Drosophila melanogaster: one gene and its partners. The protein of the gene in region 1 purifies or fractionates together with the protein of each later gene. This does not show direct contact. Each region holds a gene or a part of one and is shown on either strand. Other genes may lie near its edges.

Region 1 (3,751 bases):
ATTGCTTTCTTTTTAAGATCCCTGACCAGCAGGAATCGTGTATGTTCATCCGAGCTAATTTGTCGGGTGCACTGTTCAATGGCCGTTGGGGTGAGAATGCCCTCCTCATTGAAAAAGTCACACAACTCTGCATAGGTAAGCGTATGTCCGCCCATCTCCTGTTCCGCCTGCTCTAAGCTTTCCTGAACGGCTCGGCGCTTGAGGAGTCTCTTCATCTGGAAGGAGCAGAAGTCATCGCTGCGGGCGGGCAACTCGTGCAGACGGCCCCACGACGATTGCTTGCGCGTCTCCTTGATGTCTGTAAGGATCTCGTGTCGCACATCGGCTGGCAGATTCCGAAAATGCTGACTCTTTACATCGATGGCCTGTAAGCTAGAGTTGTAAGAATGTCGAGCGGTTGACTCGTCAAAGGAGCTGTCTGAGGCACTGGCACTGGTGTCCTGCTCGCTTTCATCTTGATTATCTTGCACCGATGCAGCCGGCAGTTCGGGAAGCTTAAACAAGTCATCCTCGTCGTTCTTCTTAGCTGGAGGCGGTCGCTTAACCGGGGATTTCAACAGTAGCTCTGCATTCTTGCCCAGCGCTTGCTGCACTACTTTTTCTTTGGCCAGGGATTGAAGGAGCAAAGCCTGAATGCGATCAGCTTCGTTGCTGAGCTTATTCCTCTGCTGCTGGCGACGTGCCTGAAGGGGTGACATAAAGAGGATTTAATTTAGAGAGTGAATTTGATATATTCCCCTATTATAACTCACAATAGTGTCCCTTTTAAGCTGCGGCACGCATCCATCGAAAATGAAAACCGGTCGCACACGATAGTATAGCAATTTACAGAGACGATGGAATAGACCCAGTAAATGGGCATTACTCAGGGCCGATCCCTTGTTGTCCTGAAAGCCCTTCACAACCTGATGCAACCAAATCGATATATCTGCAGGACGAAAAGTACTCCAATCAGCAAGTATTTCATTAGGTGGCGAAAAACGATGCTTACCCACTGCTAGGATTTTGCCCTCCAAAGTCTCTACGGGGACTGGCTTGCCGCACGGCTCAATGAGCTTCCACAAGCCCGTAACTCCCATTTTCTACTAAAATATTAATTGTATAAAACATGCAAAATAATAACTAACTAAACTTTTTGTTGCGATAAGACGCGCTTTTTTAAACAGCTGTTTCCAGTGCTGGAAAGAACACGCGGTTATCTATCTGGATGATTTTTAAAACAGTGATTTTCTGATCACATATATAAACAAATAATTACTGAAATACTTAAATATTATTCTGACACCTTTATATACTTTGAATGAAGGCGTAAAAAACTAGATCGGACTGGATTGAAATGCGGCATTATTTAAGGGTGTAATTCCAACCGTCACTTACAATCCCAAATTAATCCCATGTAAACGTTGACTAACAACATAATTTAGTCTTTGAGGAAAGTGACAAAACACAAGTGAAGTTCTTAGATAATGCCTATGTTTAATGTTTTTTGTTAATGCTCAATACTAGCTTTGTTCTTAATGACTGAAGAGGATAATTGATCCGTATAGTTTCTCCTATTCGTAATCACTCGGGGGCTTCCTCTGCTGTTGCGGTGGCACTGGCGTTGGCATTTTCGGCAGTGTTGGAATCCTTCTTGCTGGCCTTGCTCTCCTTTTTCTCCTTGACCACTTTACGATAGACCTCGAGATCCTGCGTCAGAGAGGGCACGAAGCTTTCGAAGTCTAGCTCGGTGAGGGTCTGTAGAATATCCTTGGCCGTGATGGTCTTGTGGTTCTGCTTGTGGGCCAACGCCGTCGACGAGGATGTCACGAAGATGGCAAACACAGATGCCGCTCGGGCGATCGCTGCTCGCGCTTCCTTGCTGACACTAGCTGACTCCGGCAGTGCTTCCTTGATGAGCCGGCCAATCACGGCATTCGGCAGGTTAAGATCCTCGATGCGCTCGACCATTTTGCTGCTGCTTATCTGCTTTTACTTGGTGGGCACTTTTGATTTTCCGTCTAGATTTCGGCGTCTTTGCTTCCCGCGTAAAGAGTAAACAGCTGGCTGAACAGTGTTGGACAAGGCCAGCGTGCACGCATCTACACCAGCGATGTGGCAACTCCCCCACTCAATTCTGTTTGCGCCGCCTCGTTCGCATCAATTGTTTACACATTTTTATAAATAACAGCCAATTACCCCGGCCTAAATGTGCACGGAGCGATTCGGGCCAAACTTGAAGCTGTTCCCCTCCGAACTAACGTGATACAAGTCCTGTGCGTGTGCCAGCTACCACGCACATGGACCAGCAACAAGCGACGCCGCCAAAAAAACGCAGGCACAGCGAGTACCACGATCCAGATTATCAGCAAACGGAAGTTTCTAGCCAGGATGAGGAAGAAACCTGCGCAGAAGCCGAGTCGCCCGGTCAAAGAAAGTGGACCAAGACGGAACAGTCGGATGGCATGCTGCCGTTGTCCGACAAATTTCAGCGCATCCGGGAGCTGCTTCGTCTGGAGTTCCAGCGCGAAATCTCTCAGAAGGTCGAGCAGCTGGCCGAGATCGACCGACGACTGCTGCAAGGACGACAACTGTTGGACAGACTACGCTATCAGGTGGTCAGCGAATATTACCGAAAGCAGCAGGTCCCCCTCACCGGCGCGGATATTGCGAAAGTGCGCGGCGACAGCCTTTTTGGGGACGACATAGCCGCTCCGCAGCTGCCACTGCATCCAGCCATTAAAAAAATCGTTGGCAAGCGCCCTGTTGTCATCCAAAATCATTTGCCAGAGCGCACGGCGGCCACCTTGGCCAAAGAAACCATCCGACTGAGGAATCCGGCTCATCGTCGGGCGGAACGAAGGCGGCAACAGAAGATCAAGGAGCAGGGCATCGTAACCGATCACTCCAAGGACAAAAAAGATCAGCCAGAGCAGGAACCTCCCATTTCCGTTAAGTTGGAGGACGAGCAGCCGTGCACCAGCCGACAGGCCCACGAAAGGCAAGTGGAGCTGAATGCCTCGCGGCTGAATAACAAGAACAAATTCAACTTCGTGGTGGGTAATACTTCCAAATACATTGGCGAAGACTCTCGAGAGAATGGCACAGGTGGGAATGCTTTGACCTATAAGTGGTTGGTCTATGTGCAAGGCAAAGATCTACCTGAACCACTTGAAAAATACATTAAAAAGGTAAGTAATTCCCATAAGCACGTACGGAGTGATTCAATCTCTTCTTCGCAATTCTAGGTGCGCTTCCACCTCCATCCGTCATACCGCCCAAACGACATCGTGGACGTGCACAGGTCTCCGTTTCAGCTTAACCGACATGGTTGGGGCGAGTTTCCGATGCGCATCCAGCTATTTTTCCAAGAGCACTTGCAGCAGAAACCCGTGCAACTAATGCACACGGTGGTGCTGGATAAAACAATGTGTGGACTGCACACGATGGGCGCAGAGACCACTGTGGAAATATGGCTGAGAGCAAAACAGGCGATAACGAAACAGAAAAGCGGCAAACCTCATCCTCCCCATGAACAGGAGACTGCAGTTCCTGCTCCACCTCTGGCTGCTCCGAATGTTTTAGAGCCTTCGGTTTTCGCCTTTCCTGGAGAGTCATGCAAACCGCGCACCATTTCAATCACTCAAAATAAGGAGGAACTTGATGACAATCTGTTTGCTGGTATCAACAAAATTGAACTCAGCGACGACATTGAGAAAATTGAACCAACTGTGTTGGTTTCAGAGCCCCTGAAGTTAAACTACAGTCCAAG
Region 2 (3,751 bases), on another chromosome or scaffold:
AAATTAGTTGGGGGGCGTTTAACGGAAAGTTAAAGCTAGGGAACAATTACTATTGTTCTGTGTTTAAACATAACTATGAAATAACATTGGATTTTCGGACTTTCCGTCGACGGTTTTTGGAGCGTCAATGGAACGCCTCTATAATGTACGAGTAGACGCTGCCTGGCACGTTTACATAAATATAATTTTGTAATTGTTTTTTTTTGTATGGGGACCAACTGCTAACAATACCTAAATAAAGTACACTGTTGTGCCAAAGTTAACCAGACAGCTTTTTCTCTTACCTCCCACTCGAAGTCCCCCCCTACAAGGTCTCCTCCTAAAGTCCTAATATCACAAGCGCAGATTCCAATCATCCGTTCTCATCACCTGGCAACCTGGCGACGGCAGGTACTTCTGTTCATCTGTTCATCAATTCATCTGTTCATTTGTTCATCTGTTCCGCTGGTTTATCCATCTACTACTCCCTAGTTTCCTTCTTCTCGTATATGAAAATGATGTCCTCGTCCGTGCCGTAGGCGCGTCGGGCCGTGTCCATGGACTCGATGAGGCAGCGACAAATGTCTGTGGAACGCAGCCAAAAACGAAAATCAATGAATTTTCAAGGATTGCTACCAAATGGAATACTCACGGCCATCGTGGACCTCGGGATTGTGGTAGAAGAGCTTCTGGGCGGCCATGTCATATCCGCAGAGCACCACATAGTGTCCGGCATACCTTTTGGGTCCATGGAGGCGTGTATTTTGAGCAATGCAGGGTATATGAAAACAGCTTTTCATTCGAGTGTGGATTTAAGGTGGTTTTTTGTGAATCGCCGGTGGCAAGAGGAACTCACCCGAACTTCTCTAGGACATTGCGCTTGCACACCTCGCACGTGAGCAGCGAGGCGTTGGTCAGCAGGATGACGGGTCCGTGGCGGGCCAAATGCCGCAGAATGACCTCCATGTCCACGGTGCGCTGTTCAACGCGCAGTCCATGGGCCCGGGCGTCCTTGAACTTGCGCGTCACGCGCCGTTCGTCCTTGTCGATGATCTTGGAGTAGTACGTGTGCTGCGCGTAGTTGGGATCGATCCCGAGCGTTTGGGTGAAGTACTCGTGGCGCACCTGGCCAAGAAGAGAGTGTCAAAGAAGTGAGCGAATGCAAATGTGCATCACGGCATGCCCACCTGGTAGCGCATCAGCAGATAGCACAGGTCGATGGTCCAGGTGCTCGAGCCAAATCCCTCCTCGCCGCACACGGCATCAAAGTTCCCAAGAAGCTGTTCCCTTTGCTGCGCCGACAGGATCATAATGATGCAGGACAGACCGCAGTCCCAGTTGTAGCGCTGCTGGTAGTGCGTCAGGTTGTAGTGCTTGCTCGGCGGCAGTCCGTTCATTCTGGCCAGCAGCTGGGCTCTTCTTGGCTTCTTGTGCTCCTCGGGTCCTCGAGTCCTTGGCTCCGTGTGCTTCGCGTGCTCCTGTGCCCGCGGCTGCGCTCCTTTGATCCTGGCGTCCAATTGGAAACTGAACTGGGAATGTTTTGGTCTAACAGCTTGGGCCAGTGTGGCCAGGTGCAGCTGTCTGCGGAATGCCAACTGTCGGCTATGTCCAGTTGAAAAAAATGCCAATTGAATTTTTTTAGATATATATTGTAAATATTGTAATTAAATAATATTTATACATAAATTGTGAGTCGCCAAAGGAGTTAGATGTATTTTCCTACAAATCTTGGTTGCTGCTAGGAAATTTTTGGTTTGAAATCTTAAAGGCGCAAAAAATGTTCTAACACTATGTAAATCCTTCTTAAGCCCTTCAAAATTGACAGTTCAGTTAGAATTACCTGCAATTTTAAGACTAAATAACTACTGGCAATTGGTATAAATTTAAATGCAACTGTACGCGAAACTTCAAACATGTATGAAACGATCTGGCAACGTCGAGCTAACTGCATGCAATTTGGCATCGATGTGCCCGATGCACTCCCCCTGATAGTTTCAGCGGGAAACTAAGAGTCCCATTCTAGAATCATCCCCCAAGGACGAAAACATCCCAAATCTCCCTAAAAAAAAAAACAAAAAGCAAGGAATCGAGTAAACACGTTCCACCACCGCTGTGGCAATCCGTGGCTGGTGCGCAACGGCCACACTGACGCGCTGACCAATTTTTAGTTATTAGTGTGACCTTAAGCATTATTATTTTCACGTGTGGCACGCAAACGAGCCAAAAAACCAAGCGCCTATTTAAACAAACAAATCACACGCCCAGCAGAGAGAGCAGCCGGTGACCACCGGTAACGGGAGTAGCTGCAGTTAATCCGACAGGCCCAACAAATTCGCCCGCTAATTGGCGGCGTTTCTCTAGTCGGAACAACAAGAAGAAGAAGCACGTGTGCGGCGTGCCAAAGAAAAAAGGAAAATAAACAAGGAGGCCAGGCCAAGGAGCATAAGCAGAATCCGCATCCGGAGGACATGGTGCCCATCGGAGCCGTGCACGGCGGCCATCCCGGCGTAGTGCATCCGCCACAGCAACCACTGCCCACGGCGCCCAGCGGCCCAAACTCGCTGCAGCCGAACTCGGTGGGCCAGCCGGGGGCCACCACCTCCTCGAACAGCAGCGCCTCCAACAAGAGCTCGCTATCCGTCAAGCCCAACTACACGCTCAAGTTCACGCTGGCCGGGCACACCAAGGCGGTGTCGGCGGTCAAGTTCAGTCCGAATGGCGAGTGGCTGGCCAGCTCCTGTAAGTACATACATCCCTATCCACGAATATCTGGGGGGGAATTTTATGGTACTGAACTGCTATTGGACTGAACAGGCAGCTTTGGCAGCTCAGTTAATGGGAATTGGGATGAAATAAGATCTCGGAAAAGAGAAGAAGCATTTATAGAATACATATTGTACATTCCATACATACAGCACATGCCTATTAAACTTCCACTTCTAACCCTCAGCCGCTGATAAACTAATCAAAATCTGGGGAGCATACGATGGCAAGTTCGAGAAGACCATTTCGGGCCACAAGCTGGGCATCAGCGATGTGGCCTGGAGCTCAGACTCGCGACTCCTCGTGAGCGGCAGTGATGACAAGACGCTCAAGGTCTGGGAGCTGAGCACCGGGAAGAGCTTGAAAACTCTGAAGGGCCACAGCAACTATGTGTTCTGCTGCAACTTTAATCCGCAGTCCAATCTGATCGTCTCCGGCAGCTTCGACGAGAGCGTTCGCATATGGGATGTGCGCACCGGCAAGTGTCTGAAGACTCTACCCGCCCATTCCGATCCCGTTTCGGCGGTACATTTCAATCGCGACGGATCGCTGATCGTGAGCAGCAGCTACGACGGCCTCTGTCGCATATGGGACACGGCCAGTGGACAGTGCTTGAAAACCCTGATCGACGACGACAATCCGCCCGTCAGCTTTGTAAAGTTCTCGCCCAATGGCAAGTACATTTTGGCCGCCACGCTGGATAATACGCTCAAGTTGTGGGACTACTCGAAGGGCAAGTGCCTGAAGACGTATACGGGTCACAAGAATGAGAAGTACTGCATATTCGCCAACTTCTCGGTGACGGGAGGAAAGGTGAGTTCATATCTTATGCACATTTAGGCTTTAACTCACAAGCGTCCATTGTAGTGGATCGTGAGTGGCAGCGAGGACAACATGGTCTACATTTGGAATCTGCAGAGCAAGGAGGTGGTGCAAAAGCTGCAGGGACACACCGATACCGTTCTGTGCACCGCCTGCCATCCCACGGAGAACATCATTGCTTCCGCGG
Region 3 (3,751 bases), on another chromosome or scaffold:
ATTATGGTCTCCTTGTTTTTGAACTTTCGAAAACTATCCGTGTAGGCGTACGTCTTCATGAAGACCTCGGAGAACTCTTGCTCCTCGTCGGCGGATTCGTTTTGTCGCTTTCGGTGATCGAGAAGCATGTGCACCTCCGATATCAGCAGCGTCTCGGCATTTTCGAACTCTGAAACAAAGAGAAACGAAAGGGTTTTTTTTTCTTGAATTAGTTACTTGACGACATTCAGGAAATTTACAAGTGAAACATTGGAGAAAAAATTAGCCCTAGCCATAGGACGGTGGTCTGCTGATATGGCCATGTTCCAGCAGAAAATCGTAGATCTGACGCGTTTTGTTCACGTCAATTTTGATGAGACGTCGCGCATCGGCCAGTCGTAGATATCCGAGCTTTGCTTGCTCCGTAACGAGTTGATTCTTGTAGTCCAAATACGACTGCGGAACCAGACGAGCCACACTGCACAACTTTCGCTCGCCATCATCCAGTTTGGAGTAACCAGGCAGATCTGGGATCAAAGAAAAATTATATTCAGTTGGTGTCAGGCAATGAGTAAAGTGTTTCCCACCTCCAATCTCAATGGGACTGGCCTTTCGACGCGTGTTCATCACATATAACTTTGAGTTAATGGCCAGGGGACCAGGATCACCGCTCCTGTTGCTCTCGTAATGCTGCACCAATTGCTGCCAGTCGAAAGCATCTGTTTGCTTCAGCCTGCTGTAATCTCGCTGAGCCTGCTGACGTTCTTTGCTCAAGCGGGCATATAATTTGGCTCCGGAAAGAGTTCGAACGCCGTGCTCCCGCAGATCGTATAGCTTGTGCAGCTGGCTATGCAGCTCCCGATAATAACGCAGAGACTCCAACAGCATATCGAACTTAATGGGGTCAGGACAGATCTGCATGAAGCCCAAGAAACGCATGCAACTCGCATCGCTGCCAAAGGCGTGCACGTACTTGGAAATCCAGCTGACGGTGCGATTGGGCATTATGAGACCGTGTTGCCTCATTATCTTGTAACGACGCTGGCGCTCTCTGTGAGTAAATATGCATATTAGATTTTTTTTAGTAGCTTTCTGTTATAAGATCATACCTGAGGCGATTGTTGTATGCCCGAACTAGTCCGAGTTGCAATTCCTCTGTCACTTCGCGCTCAAACTCACTCTCAGACGCCTCGTTGTCGTCATCCCTGCCCCTATGATCCACCATAATAGATAGCAGACTCTCTGCTGAGGTGTCGTACGGAGTATCGAAGTCTCCTCTTGCACAGCGGTAACCTGCGCTTAGTCTGAACTGCATGGAGGCGATGTCGTCATGACGTGGTGGATCCAAGCTGCGCATTTTGAAGACATACGGCATTCGCTCGGGCACATAGCTGTCCCTCGCATGCTTCAGATTAAGGAGCCGCTCGAATATCCCGCCAAAGTAGCAATCGTGGTAGTGACGACGCACTTCTGCGGGTTCGTGGCGCTGGTCCAGAGCCTGGGAGACCGCCTCCCAGTTGCCATAGCCGTGGGTGCGAAGTGTTTTCAGCAGTATGCGCTCGTCCCGTGCCGTCCAGTGTGGCTCATCGGCGAAAACCTGTATGTTGTCGCGGACTATGATGTAAGCGTGGTTATTGCGGTGAGAAAAGGCCTCCTTTCCACGTGAGAAACATTGCAGGCAGAGCAGGGTGTCGAGGCACTCGGAGCACTTAATGTACGGCTCTGTGAGACTGCAGCGACATGTGGCACACCGATTGGCATCCTTTGTAGCCGATGGAACACTGCTATTCTGGTCCCGCGTCTTTTCCTCCATCTCCTCCAAGTACCTGTGCAACGTGTGCGGATTATACAAAACCATGGAGTTCCTGGTGTGTTCATTCTGATGTGCATGGATGAACCGCTTAACCTGTGGCCCCAGTGGCTCAACTGCAAAGAGGCAATTCAGTGTGGTAAAAATGTGGAGGAGTGCCACTTTTGGGGCACTCGAAGCCAAAGGTTTCAGCCAGTTTCACTTGTAAGTTGCATTTCGGTTGGTGTAGGGCGTTGGTTACCTTTGGGAAACTGCAGGTCGGCGGCGTCCTCATCCACCATATCCACGGGGTTCATAAAAGACATAGTGAGCTAAGAACTGCTCAGTTTGTTAAAGTTTATATTAAGAAATTCTAATTTGCACAATAAAATGTCGCTGTTTTTAGTGATGAGAAAGGCAGGGCTATAACTGGCGAAGAAGCTATCGATAGGTGGGTCGCATCGTGCGTAGATACGTTGGTCACACTAGCAAGCATGTTGAGTTTATCATTCCGGGTGTTTTGATTTTGTTCGGAATTCTTGGTTTTTTTCCAAGAGAGTTATGTCCCTGGTGCCAGAAGCCTCTACCTCGAGAGCGCCCAAGTACTGCTACTTCTTCAAGACCCTGCTGGTGGAGGAACTGGAGCTGGAAACTTCCTACCACAACCTGCACTACGGTCAGTGCGCATTAATTGGACGTCTGGCGTTCAAGGCGAATCAGTACCGCCTAGAAAACGTGCGCGTTAAGTGTTTGCCAAAGTAAGTTTTTCTATATTACCTATCCATCCGGTCCTTACCAATGATGCTGCATCTTTCAGGAAGTACTCCTTGGGCGAGGGCACCGTATCCTTGCTTATTCTTGGCCTTACCCATGACAAAGTCGTCGAAAATCGCGTGAGTACCGGCCGCTACTGCATTGTGCGTGGTGAAGTGGTGCTACATAATGTGCAGCATCCCAAAGGTGCCAAACTGACCGCCGGCGGTGTCTACGACAAGATCAATAGTCTGTCCAACGATCCGTTGGCCCAAAAACAGTATCTCAGCGCGCTACTTGCCACCTACAGACCGGCCATCGACTTATGGTACATCCAGGTCATCGACAGAGCCGAGGACTTGCTGACTCGCAGGCTGGAGATGAGAAGTCTGATCGAGAAATGAACACACACCACCTGACCACCTCGCGAACCAATCCGCAGTTCTATATATTCAGTCAGCTCTTTGGTAACGATTTCGACTGGAATAATTGCAATTGGGGGGGCATTCAAAACGTTACCTGGAAAGAATTCTGGCAGCGTGAGGGGCATGAGCTGCTCGAGCAAAAGTGGCACAAGCGGTTTCCCGAATACAAAGATCTTATCGAGGTGGTTTCGTCGGAGGAGCAAGGCCTTTGGCAGGAACTGTGGGAGAAGCACGCCAGCGATTACAGTGAAAAGTTCTGGTATATATTTAGCTGTGCCTTTGAGAACTACCAACACGATTTGGCCAAATCATTTGGCCTTGACGTCGCTGAAAACTCAGAAGATGTTGAGGAGGACTTGCAGAACCTAAGCCTTACAAATAAGCCAATAAAATCGAAACAGCAAAGGGTCACAGAGAAAGAGGAGGACGAATCATACTTGACTGCCAACGACGATCCCGAGGATTGTGACGAGGAACAACAGCTGCGCCTTCTCGGATTGCCAACATCATTTGCGTCGAAGGCAGATATAATTAATTATAGAAAGGAAAGAAAGACACAGTACGAACTATCTAGCAGCGATAGCGAGGACGATCATGATCTGTTGACCATGGAGAACAACGAAAACGAGGCTCTGCACGGCGTTCAGAGCGGTTCTGTTAAAAAGAAAAAACGACGGCAAAGGCAAATAAAAAAACTCAAGGCCAGGATGCCAGAGTGCATGCAAGAGGATAACAACAAAATGGTCAAGTACTGGGTCAAGCGATTCTCGCTGTTCTCCCGCTTCGATCAGGGCATTCGGCTGGA

Evidence for each region.
Region 2: the proteins of D12 (region 1) and wds purify together in Drosophila melanogaster (affinity purification with mass spectrometry; 3 studies listed by BioGRID). This does not show direct contact.
Region 3: the proteins of D12 (region 1) and Ada2a purify together in Drosophila melanogaster (affinity purification with mass spectrometry; 3 studies listed by BioGRID, with this or other methods). This does not show direct contact.

Annotation. Positions count from the first base shown.
Region 1 is NT_033779.5:8,435,704-8,439,454, reverse strand, and holds the start of D12 (D12), read left to right. Parts: upstream 1-2,089; 5' UTR 2,090-2,279; coding exon 2,280-3,170; intron 3,171-3,227; coding exon 3,228-3,751. Other genes in the region: mus201 (mutagen-sensitive 201), read right to left, coding at 1-683, 753-928, 992-1,079; Chrac-14 (chromatin accessibility complex 14kD protein), read right to left, coding at 1,564-1,950.
Region 2 is NC_004354.4:2,583,832-2,587,582, forward strand, and holds the start of wds (will die slowly), read left to right. Parts: upstream 1-2,148; 5' UTR 2,149-2,447; coding exon 2,448-2,718; intron 2,719-2,929; coding exon 2,930-3,555; intron 3,556-3,609; coding exon 3,610-3,751. Other genes in the region: CG13760 (uncharacterized protein), read right to left, coding at 461-564, 632-771, 836-1,104, 1,167-1,376.
Region 3 is NT_033777.3:18,253,287-18,257,037, forward strand, and holds the start of Ada2a (transcriptional adaptor 2a), read right to left. Parts: upstream 2,202-3,751; 5' UTR 2,095-2,201; coding exon 2,031-2,094; intron 1,951-2,030; coding exon 1,089-1,950; intron 1,031-1,088; coding exon 268-1,030; 3' UTR 170-267; coding exon of another isoform or gene 1-169. Other genes in the region: Polr2D (RNA polymerase II subunit D), read right to left, coding at 1-169, 2,031-2,094; moi (modigliani), read left to right, coding at 2,330-2,526, 2,586-2,925; Tgs1 (trimethylguanosine synthase 1), read left to right, coding at 2,922-3,751. UniProt on the Drosophila melanogaster protein: Component of the histone acetyltransferase (HAT) complex ATAC; predominantly involved in acetylation of histone H4, including at Lys-6 (H4K5ac) and Lys-13 (H4K12ac).